Saccharomyces cerevisiae S288C: one gene and its partner. The gene in region 2 interacts genetically with the main gene of each other region. Each region holds a gene or a part of one and is shown on either strand. Other genes may lie near its edges.

What was found. Genes that interact genetically often act in the same process or in processes that back each other up.
Region 1: mutations in YAR066W (region 2) and YIR042C together harm fitness more than expected from each alone (negative genetic interaction), as found in Saccharomyces cerevisiae (one large-scale study listed by BioGRID).

The regions. Positions count from the first base shown.
Region 1 is NC_001141.2:434,773-439,170, reverse strand, and holds YIR042C (uncharacterized protein), read left to right. Parts: upstream 1-3,187; coding exon 3,188-3,898; downstream 3,899-4,398.
Region 2 is NC_001133.9:217,684-223,313, forward strand, and holds YAR066W (uncharacterized protein), read left to right. Parts: upstream 1-3,365; coding exon 3,366-3,977; downstream 3,978-5,630. Other genes in the region: YAR064W (uncharacterized protein), read left to right, coding at 2,515-2,814; YAR068W (uncharacterized protein), read left to right, coding at 4,723-5,208.

The sequences.
Region 1 (4,398 bases), on a different chromosome or scaffold from region 2:
TCAATTTTTATAAACTTATGTCAATATTACAGAAAAATTACCACTAAAATCACCTAAACATAAAAATATTTTACCTTTCAACTTTACGAAATAAACACTTTGACTTGAAGTATGAGCACTACCATGACGTCATTAATGTAAAAGTTCCTTAATATCGTCGTACCACTATGCTCTATTTAATATATTGTAATATAACTGCACTCTATAGTCATACAGATATTTTCACTTCGCCCTATCTTCCCATACTATTGTCATGGAATCTCACACTGACGCATGATTAAACGAACAATTTATACTATAAGGTCTGTCATTTGCGCTCTATCCTTTTGTTTGCAATATTTATATACAGAATCTCAAAACAAGCGGGAGAAGTGGTAATTACCCAGAGGTCATGCATGATCTGAGTACCACCATACCTCTAAGTTTTTGCTTTGATCCGTTTTACAGTGACAACAAACATAAGGAGAAGGCATTAAAATGGTATCGAAAGGTTATCAATATAGGGAAATAAATTGGTTCTATGAATCTTCATGTAAGATACTCGTAGGCCAGACTCTTTCCCGTGTAAATATTTGTGACAGCTACGTCTATTTTCTACTATATGTTTACACAGTTTTCTCACAGGCAATCTACGCTTAAATATGTGTTTCATTTCAGGCGGCAACTGCTGTGCGAGCAGTGACATTGCCGGTCGCACCTTAAAACGTAAGCCAAAGTTATGACACGCTCTCAAAGTACCCGCATTAAAGTTTTATAAAAGTATTATTACGACTATCGAGTAACTTAGATAGAAAACCGGAAATGAAATGGATGCCCTTTTCGAATAGCTGAGTTTCTTTGTCTAAAATAGCCCAACATTGTTGCCCTTTTTCTATCATGAGATTGCACGAACGCGCGCGCTTCGGCGGCTTTTTTTTCTGCTACATAAAAGCGAAAAGGAAGAAGTTATTACTTTGAATAAAAAAACCTCGAACTGCCATCTCACTACCAAATGAAAGAGAATGAAGTCAAAGATGAGAAAAGCGTAGATGTGTTATCCTTCAAACAGCTCGAATCCCAAAAGACTGTTTTACCCCAGGATGTTTTCCGAAACGAATTGACCTGGTTTTGTTATGAAATTTACAAGTCTTTAGCGTTTCGCATCTGGATGCTATTATGGCTACCACTTAGCATCTGATGGAAACTTTCCAACAATTGGGTTTACCAATTTATAGTTTCACTTCTTGTCCTGGTTTTGGGACCAATATTTCTCCTTGTTATTCGTGAACCTTCTCGTAAGCGCTCCTTATCGAAACAACTCACTCAGTTTTGCAAAGATATTACTAAAAACGCACCAAGTTTGGATACTCATAATTGGGAAATCGTTGCAGCAAATCTAAATTCGTACTTATATGAAAATAAGGCTTGGAATACTAGGTACTTTTTCTTCAATGCCATGGGCTGCCAAGAAGCGTTCAGAACAACCCTTCTCGAACCCTTCTCTTTGAAAAAAGACGAAGCTGCCAAGGTTAAGTCATTTAAGGATTCCGTCTCTTACATTGAAGAAGCATTGGGAGTTTATTTTACAGAAGTTGAAAAACAATGGAAGTTGTTTAATACTGAAAAATCATGGAGCCCTGTTGGCCTAGAAGATGCTAAACTTCCCAAAGAAGCTTACCGATTTAAGCTTACCTGGATTCTTAAAAGGATTTTCAAGCTGCGGTGTTTACAAGTCTTCCTTTATTATTTTTTAATTGTCTACACGTCTGGAAATGTTGACCTTATATCACGTTTCTTGTTTCCGGTAGTAATGTTTTTTATCATGACGAGAGATTTCCAAAATATGGGAATGATTGTTTTATCCGTTAAAATGGAACACAAGATGCAGTTCTTGTCAACTATTATAAATGAGCAAGAAAGCGGTGCGAATGGATGGGACGAAATTGCAAAGAAAATGAATAGGTATTTGTTTGAGAAAAAAGTCTGGAATAATGAAGAGTTTTTCTACGATGGACTTGACTGTGAATGGTTTTTTAGCTGCTTTTTCTATCGCCTTTTATCTTTAAAAAAAACTATGTGGTTTGCTTCGTTGAACGTTGAGCTATGGCCATACGTTAAAGAAGCACAATCCGTGGTAACAAGTCTTTAGTGAAAAAGTGAACATGTTTTTTTCAACCTAAAAGGTGGGTTAAGATTTTCATCGAGCAATTTTATGCACACAGCACGACATGGTTCAGAGTATAATATATTGGAAGAAAATGCACACGAGCATAATTCTCAAATTATATATAATTACTGAGTATTAATTACAACCGGACACGCTCCATAATTATTCTTTTAAGATTATTGTTTATTAAGGAGCACTTCTAGAAAATAAATGTTTGGAGCCATTAAAATGTAAACTAGCAGATAATTATAATTTATATTCCTTAAAGGCACAAATCTCCGTAATATGTGTATGTATTTATTACTTTTGAGTTTGCCTATTTAGCACAGAGCGGATCGAAAGTATTGGAATAGTAACACCGATATTATTTCTTGGAGGCTTCTCATGAGCCAGCATCATTTTAAAGTCAAGCAGTTGAAATGGAGTACATTTCCTCATATTTTCTATATATACACGAGTTCTTATTTAACTTGAATTGAGTGATTTGTTTTCATCATCTCTTGGCAATTTGTTTTTGAAATATTTTTTGAAAAGAAAGATGCAAATTTCGCGAATCACATTTTCTGTTGCATCGATAAGGTTATTGCTGATCATAAACACATTTATGTGAGATTTGTTTCAATAGCGCACGCACTTATACGCCACTCGCTGAATTTGTCTCCTTCTCAAAATTGGGATTATCATAAGGCATAAGTGTATATTAGAAAATTATGCAAACTCTGTACCTATATTTGCAGAGTCTATAAGAAGCTGTTTACTGGGCTTACAATAAAGCAGATCTCTTGTACTGTAATACGTCTTGGATCATCGCCAGTGTGAAAGTCAAAAAGTTCGTAGTTCTTTGTGCACGTGATATTTGCTCTGTTTATTGGTTCATAATGGAAGGTTGTTTTTTTTTTGAGCCATTCTTCAAAGGTTGATAGGAGGTTGATAAGAGGTTGATAAACAATCAACAATGATATAAAAATAGCATGGGAGGACGCCTTGCAAGAATTTTCCCGCCTCTGAACCTGGAAATAATGCCCTTCAGTAGAAACAATTATGGCGAATTTAAATATATTTGGGCAAGAAGTTGGTGCTGACGTCGAAGGTTGGACAACAAGGGCCTTCCCAGAGAAAGTTGTATTGAAAGGTAACACTTGCAGACTAGAACCTCTAGATAGAGAAAGACATGGTTCGGAACTTTTTAGTGCCTATAGTGAGGCAGGCCAAAAATTATGGACGTATTTACCTGCGGGACCATTCACTAACTTGGAGGAATATCTAGAATTCATTAAGGAACTCAATGAAACTAAAGATACTGTGCCTTTCGCAATTATTAATAAAGAGACTGAACGTGCCGTTGGTACATTGTGCTTAATAAGAATCGATGAAGCCAACGGTTCACTAGAAGTTGGATATGTTGTTTTTTCACCAGAATTACAGAAGACGATTATTGCAACTGAAGCTCAATTTCTGTTAATGAAGTATGTATTTGATGATCTTCAATACAGGAGATATGAGTGGAAGTGTGATAGTTTAAATGGGCCGTCAAGGAGGGCAGCGATGCGCTTAGGCTTTAAGTATGAAGGCACGTTTCGACAAGTGGTGGTATATAAGGGTCGCACTCGCGACACTCAATGGTTTTCAATAATCGATAAAGAATGGTTACGCATTCGTAAAACCTTTGAAGAATGGTTAGACAAAACAAATTTTGAAAATGGCAAACAAAAGAGAGGAATAGCAGCAATAAGAGAAAGCTTGTCAAACTGAAAACTCGCCCTCTCTTTCATGCAGGACATATGTATATATAGCATTTTTTGGTTACCATACTGTAGACTAGGATTTTTTTGCAGTCATGTGAATTTTCCGACTTCACCTTCAACAAAGAAAAATCGCATTTACAATGACTAAGACTTCACGCATTTGCGCTGATCTCCTTTAAGCTTGAATGACATTGAAATGTTACGTCGATACCGATAATATTTTGGGCTCTCGGTTTTGATTTAAACCAGGAAGCGTAGCTCTCACCTTACTAAGGCTCACATCATGTCATTTATAGTGTCATTTTGGCCCTAACTATATTCCACCTTTCTTCCATATAATAGTTTCAACCTTAACCTCAAAATGTATCATTTAATTTTTCTCATACTCTATCATATTTGTTATATAAACGTACAAAGATTGTAATGTTAACTATGCTAAAGTACAATTATTCACAGCATACTACACCGCGCTACGGTTCGTTACCAACCCTCACTAAACCCATAACG
Region 2 (5,630 bases):
CTCAAGACTTATACTTCAGCCCGTTTAGGAATGCATAAAAGCAAATAGGATTCGTTACAACTGCTGCAGGACTCTTTAGGACTGCATCAAGGTAAGCCTCGCTGCACCTAAACGCAAAATGTGGTTGTAACCTTTTTAATTTTTTTCTTGAACTTGTTGAGTCGTAATAAATCGTTTCTGGGAAGTGGAAGGTAATAATGTAATGGAATCGGCGTTACTCGCATGTGCAGATATCAGCGACAAAAAGTGTTGTAGGGACGTTTCGATACCAAAATTTCCTAAATACAGCGCAGGAACATCACTACGCTAAACAAATCGTAGCGCATACATCTGATCGAAAAAAGACAGTTCCCAAAACAATGACATATGAAGAGACCAGCATCAAAATTTTCATCATTAACAGCATGGCTAAAAGTTATTGTTTAATATACCCATACCTGATTGACGAACCAAGAAATGCCTTATCACTATTTATTTTTGGCACTCTTCACCTACCTGGCCACGTCCAATGTTGTTTCAGGAAGTACACAAGCATGCCTGCCAGTGGGCCCGAGGAAAAATGGGATGAATGTCAACTTTTATAAATACTCATTACTGGATTCAACAACGTATTCCTACCCGCAATATATGACTTCTGGATATGCCTCGAATTGGAATTAGGTTCCGTTGGCGGACAGACGGATTTCTCAATTGACTACGATCTTTCTTGTGTTATCTCTTCAGGAACTTTTAAATGTGCTCAATCAGATGCTTATGGAAACTGGGGATGCAGAGGTCATAGTGAATGTTCAAAATAGCCAAGAAAGACCTATTGGAGTACTGATTTACTTGGTTTCTTACTATCCCAAAAAACGCTACTCTAGAAATGACAGGTTACTTTTTACCACCACAAACAAGTTCTTACACGTTCAGGTTTGCTAAGGTCGATGACTCTGCAATTCTATCAGTCGGTGGTAACGTTGCGTTCGAATGTTGTGCACAAGAACAACCTCCAATTACATCGACGGATTTTACAATCAATGGTATTAAGCCATGGCAAGGAAGTTTGCCTGATAACATCGGAGGGACTGTCTACATGTATGCAGGCTACTATTATCCGCTGAAGGTTGTTTACTCCAATGCCGTTTCCTGGGGCACGCTTCCAATTAGCGTGGAATTGCCTGATGGTACTACTGTTAGTGATGACTTTGAAGGGTACGTTTACTCTTTTGACGATGATTTAAGTCAGTCAAATTGTACTATCCCTGATCCTTCAAAACATACTACTAGCATCGTCACAACTACTACCGAACTGTGGACTGGTACTTTTACTTCTACATCTACTGAAATGACCACCGTCACCGGTACTAATGGTCAACCAACTGACGAAACCGTTATTGTTGCCAAAGCTCCAACCACTGCCACCTCATCCAGTTTGTCATCATCTTCTTCAGAACAAATCACCAGCTCTATCACGTCTTAGCATCCAATTATTACTCCATTCTATCGCAGCAATGGAACTTCTGTAGTTTCTTCCTCAGTCATGTCTTCCTCGGTCATTTCTTCTTCTGCAACGACCTCCACTTCTATATTCTCTGAATCATCTAAATCATCCGTCATTCAAACCAGTAGTTCCACCTCTGGTTCTTCTGAGAGCGAAACAATCTTAGTGATTGCTGGCATGTCATTAGCGACAAGACGCTTATTACCGTAGTAGCCCCCCAAGGCAAACATCTCTTTATCAGTAATATCCAAAGCTGTTCAACTTCTCGAATTGGCCCAGGAAAAGAGCATTGGGGCGGCAACTAACTCTGGCATACTTACAGTTTCTGCTCTTGACAGCGCTAAAAAAGGGCTTGTTTTGTAATGCCCGGTTCGCAATTCTACAAGTACCACGCACTAGCTGCTAAAAGTGTCTAACCTTGCGAACAAATCTGGACTTTCTTATGAGAATCCCATCGTCAAGAAACAAAATTATACAGACAGGCGTAAATGTAGCTCGTAAGCGCCTGATCAAGTAAGCCAAATGCGCTAACTTGAGGAAATATAGCCATCTAAATCTCTGCAACATGCCAATTCGCACGTGACTTGAAACTATGGAAAGTGTCTAGAAGATTACCAAGAACCACGTTATTTGAGAGAGGATGGCAAGGTGACGACAATCACACCAAGACCACATTTTGGGTGCGCCTGGAAGCAAGACCTGAGAAACTGGGCCAAAATATTCAAACCAAGCATAAGATAGTTGGAGGTAGGAATACACTATCTAATCTGTGCTGATGAAATGCTGGCGAAAACGGGCGATGTAGTGGTACAGAAGGTGCCGGTTATCCGTTTGTCCGTTTTTCTTCATTTTTTTTTTGTTTTTCCCTTTTGTCTTTTGCACCGCTTATATATGGGTATGAAACAAGTTCAAGAATTTATAATGGAACCCAAAGGTTCAGTCTTTGTAGTTCGAGCGACATTGCGCGTTTCCTTAGAAAACGCTGGAAAGATATTCTTTAACGAGACGGAGTAATTCTCGTCAGGAATAGGATGTTGATTGATTTTTGCTGTAGTTATATAGCAGGGACCCACGGAAGAGAGCGAGCGCCTTCTTTCACAGGGACTTTTGTCAGCCACGTCTCCGGGGAAAACAATTGCCGTCCGCGTCGCAGTGAGATTACGCAGCCGTGCGCTTCAGGGACAGAAAAGAAGCATTTCGCGGCTACGGAGAAACCGTGCACTAACTCTCTCGAGGGTAGCCGCAAAGATTTCTTGTCTCTTCCATTAGGACATAGCTATCTTTTTCTTTTCTGTTTTTGGCGTATGATCTGTTCTGAGCCAAAGTTATAGATCATTGCTTGAATAAGCACCTCACAGAGTAGGGATTGTATAGAAAGTAGCTGAGCGTCTGCCCACGTAACAAACAATCTTGCCCCTTCCCCGCTCTTGTTTTCGCGTGCCTCTTCTACAATAATCTGGCCAGGCTGAATCGCGTTCTGCTGCTGCTGCTGCTATTGTTATTGTTGTTGTTGTTGTTTTGGCCAATTGCTTATGTGTTGGTCTGCAAATTAGCACCTCGTTCCCTGTTGGCAAACGCGCGCGTACAAGCCTTACAGGGCTTGAGAATGTTCTTCGTAGAAATGCATGCACAAAAATTCTGATCTAGCACACCATCGGTCTCTGTAGCTTCGGGCTCTATAGCTATGGGTTAGGAGTCCGTGAGTAGTAACAAGAAGAAGTATATAAAAAGCAGGTAAATCGTACTTCAATATGCTTCATTGTCACTGGATCGTCATATTCACTCTTGTTCTCATAATAGCAGTCCAAGTTTTCATCTTTGCAAGCTTTACTATTTCTTTCTTTTTATTGGTAAACTCTCGCCCATTACAAAAAAAAAAGAGATGTTCAATCGTTTTAACAAATTCCAAGCTGCTGTCGCTTTGGCCCTACTCTCTCGCGGCGCTCTCGGTGACTCTTACACCAATAGCACCTCCTCCGCAGACTTGAGTTCTATCACTTCCGTCTCGTCAGCTAGTGCAAGTGCCACCGCTTCCGACTCACTTTCTTCCAGTGACGGTACCGTTTATTTGCCATCCACAACAATTAGCGGTGATCTCACAGTTACTGGTAAAGTAATTGCAACCGAGGCCGTGGAAGTCGCTGCCGGTGGTAAGTTGACTTTACTTGACGGTGAAAAATACGTCTTCTCATCTGATCTAAAAGTTCACGGTGATTTGGTTGTCGAAAAGTCTGAAGCAAGCTACGAAGGTACCGCGTTCGACGTTTCTGGTGAGACTTTTGAAGTTTCCGGTAACTTCAGTGCTGAAGAAACTGGCGCTGTCTCCGCATCTATCTATTCATTCACACCTAGCTCGTTCAAGAGCAGCGGTGACATTTCTTTGAGTTTGTCAAAGGCCAAGAAGGGTGAAGTCACCTTTTCTCCATACTCTAACGCTGGTACCTTTTCTTTGTCAAATGCTATTCTCAACGGTGGTTCTGTTTCCGGTTTGTAACGTAGAGACGACGATGAAGGCTCTGTAAATAACGGTGAAATCAACCTAGACAATGGAAGTACCTATGTTATCGTTGAACCAGTTTCTGGAAACGGTACAATCAACATCGTCTCTGGTAACCTATACTTGCACTACCCTGACACCTTTACTGGCCAAACTGTTGTATTCAAGGGTGAAGGTGTTCTTGCCGTTGACCCAACCGAAACCAACGCCACTCCTATTCCTGTTGTTGGCTACACCGGTAAGAACCAAATTGCCATTACCGCCGACATCACTGCTCTTTCTTACGACGGTACTACTGGTGTCTTAACTGCAACCCAAGGTAACAGACAATTCTCTTTTGAAATTGGTACTGGATTCTCTAGTTCTGGCTTCAGTGTCTCCGAAGGAATCTTCGCAGGCGCCTACTCATATTACCTAAACTATGACGGTGTCATCGCTACAAGCGCCGCATCCACATCCGCATCCACTACCTCTGGTGTTGTCTCTACTGCCACTGGTTCAGTCACTTTATCCTCTAACGCTTCTACCACCGTCTCTTCTACGATCTCTTCTAGCGCCCCAGACTCAATAATTCCTTCATCTAGCGCCTCTATCTCTGGTGTCTCAAACTCCACTACAGCATCTGGTTCAATCGCTTCTACTGCTTCCACCGCTTCCACTACTTCTACTGCATCCGCTGCATCCGCCACCAGCTTCACCTCAGGTTCCGCTTCTGTCTACACTACTACATTAACTTACTTGAATGCCACAAGTACAGTCGTGGTTTCCTGTTCAGAAACAACCGACGCTAGCGGTAACATTTACACCATTACCACAACTGTCCCATGCTCATCTACCACTGCCACCATCACATCTTGTGACGAAAACGGATGCCATGTTCCAGCACCAACTGCTACCGACGCAACTGCAACCGTTTCCTCCAAGTCATACACCACTGTTACTGTTACTCACTGTGACAACAATGGCTGTAACACCAAGACTGTCACTTCTGAATGTTCTAAAGAAACTGCAGCAACCACCATTTCTCCAAAATCATACACTACTGTTACCGTTACTCACTGTGACGACAACGGCTGTAACACCAAGACTGTCACTTCCGAGGCTTCCAAACAAACATCATTGGCCACTAGCACAGTCACCAAGTCTGCTGCTCCAACTTCTCATACTGCTGCTTCCAGCACCTTCACTGGTATTGTCGTTCAATCCGAAGGTATGGCTGCTGGTTTGAGAACCAATGCTTTAAGTACTTTGGCAGGTATTTTCATCCTTGCTTTTTTTTAAAATGAGTGCGTAACCGTACTTTCCTAAAAATAACTAAGTAGAAAGTATTTTAATATATAAACGTCAGTGTAAACATTCAAGTGATTTTAACTTTACGCGGTTGAAGAATGCTGTGTTCGAACTATAAAGCGTCAGAAAAGATGGTTTAGCGAAGGCACCATTATGAAGATAGACACATTCTTCTTTTTTTTTTTTTTTTTTTTTTTTTTTTTTTTTTTTCATTTACTTTTATTTCGCGCGGTCGGTAAATTTTTCGTGGGTTTCTTTGAATCTATTAGCCGACATAAGAATAATGCATAAATAATATTTTTAATGTCTTCCTATGCCCAAAAGAAGAAGTCTTGAAGTTGCCGCACATGGAAATCACAT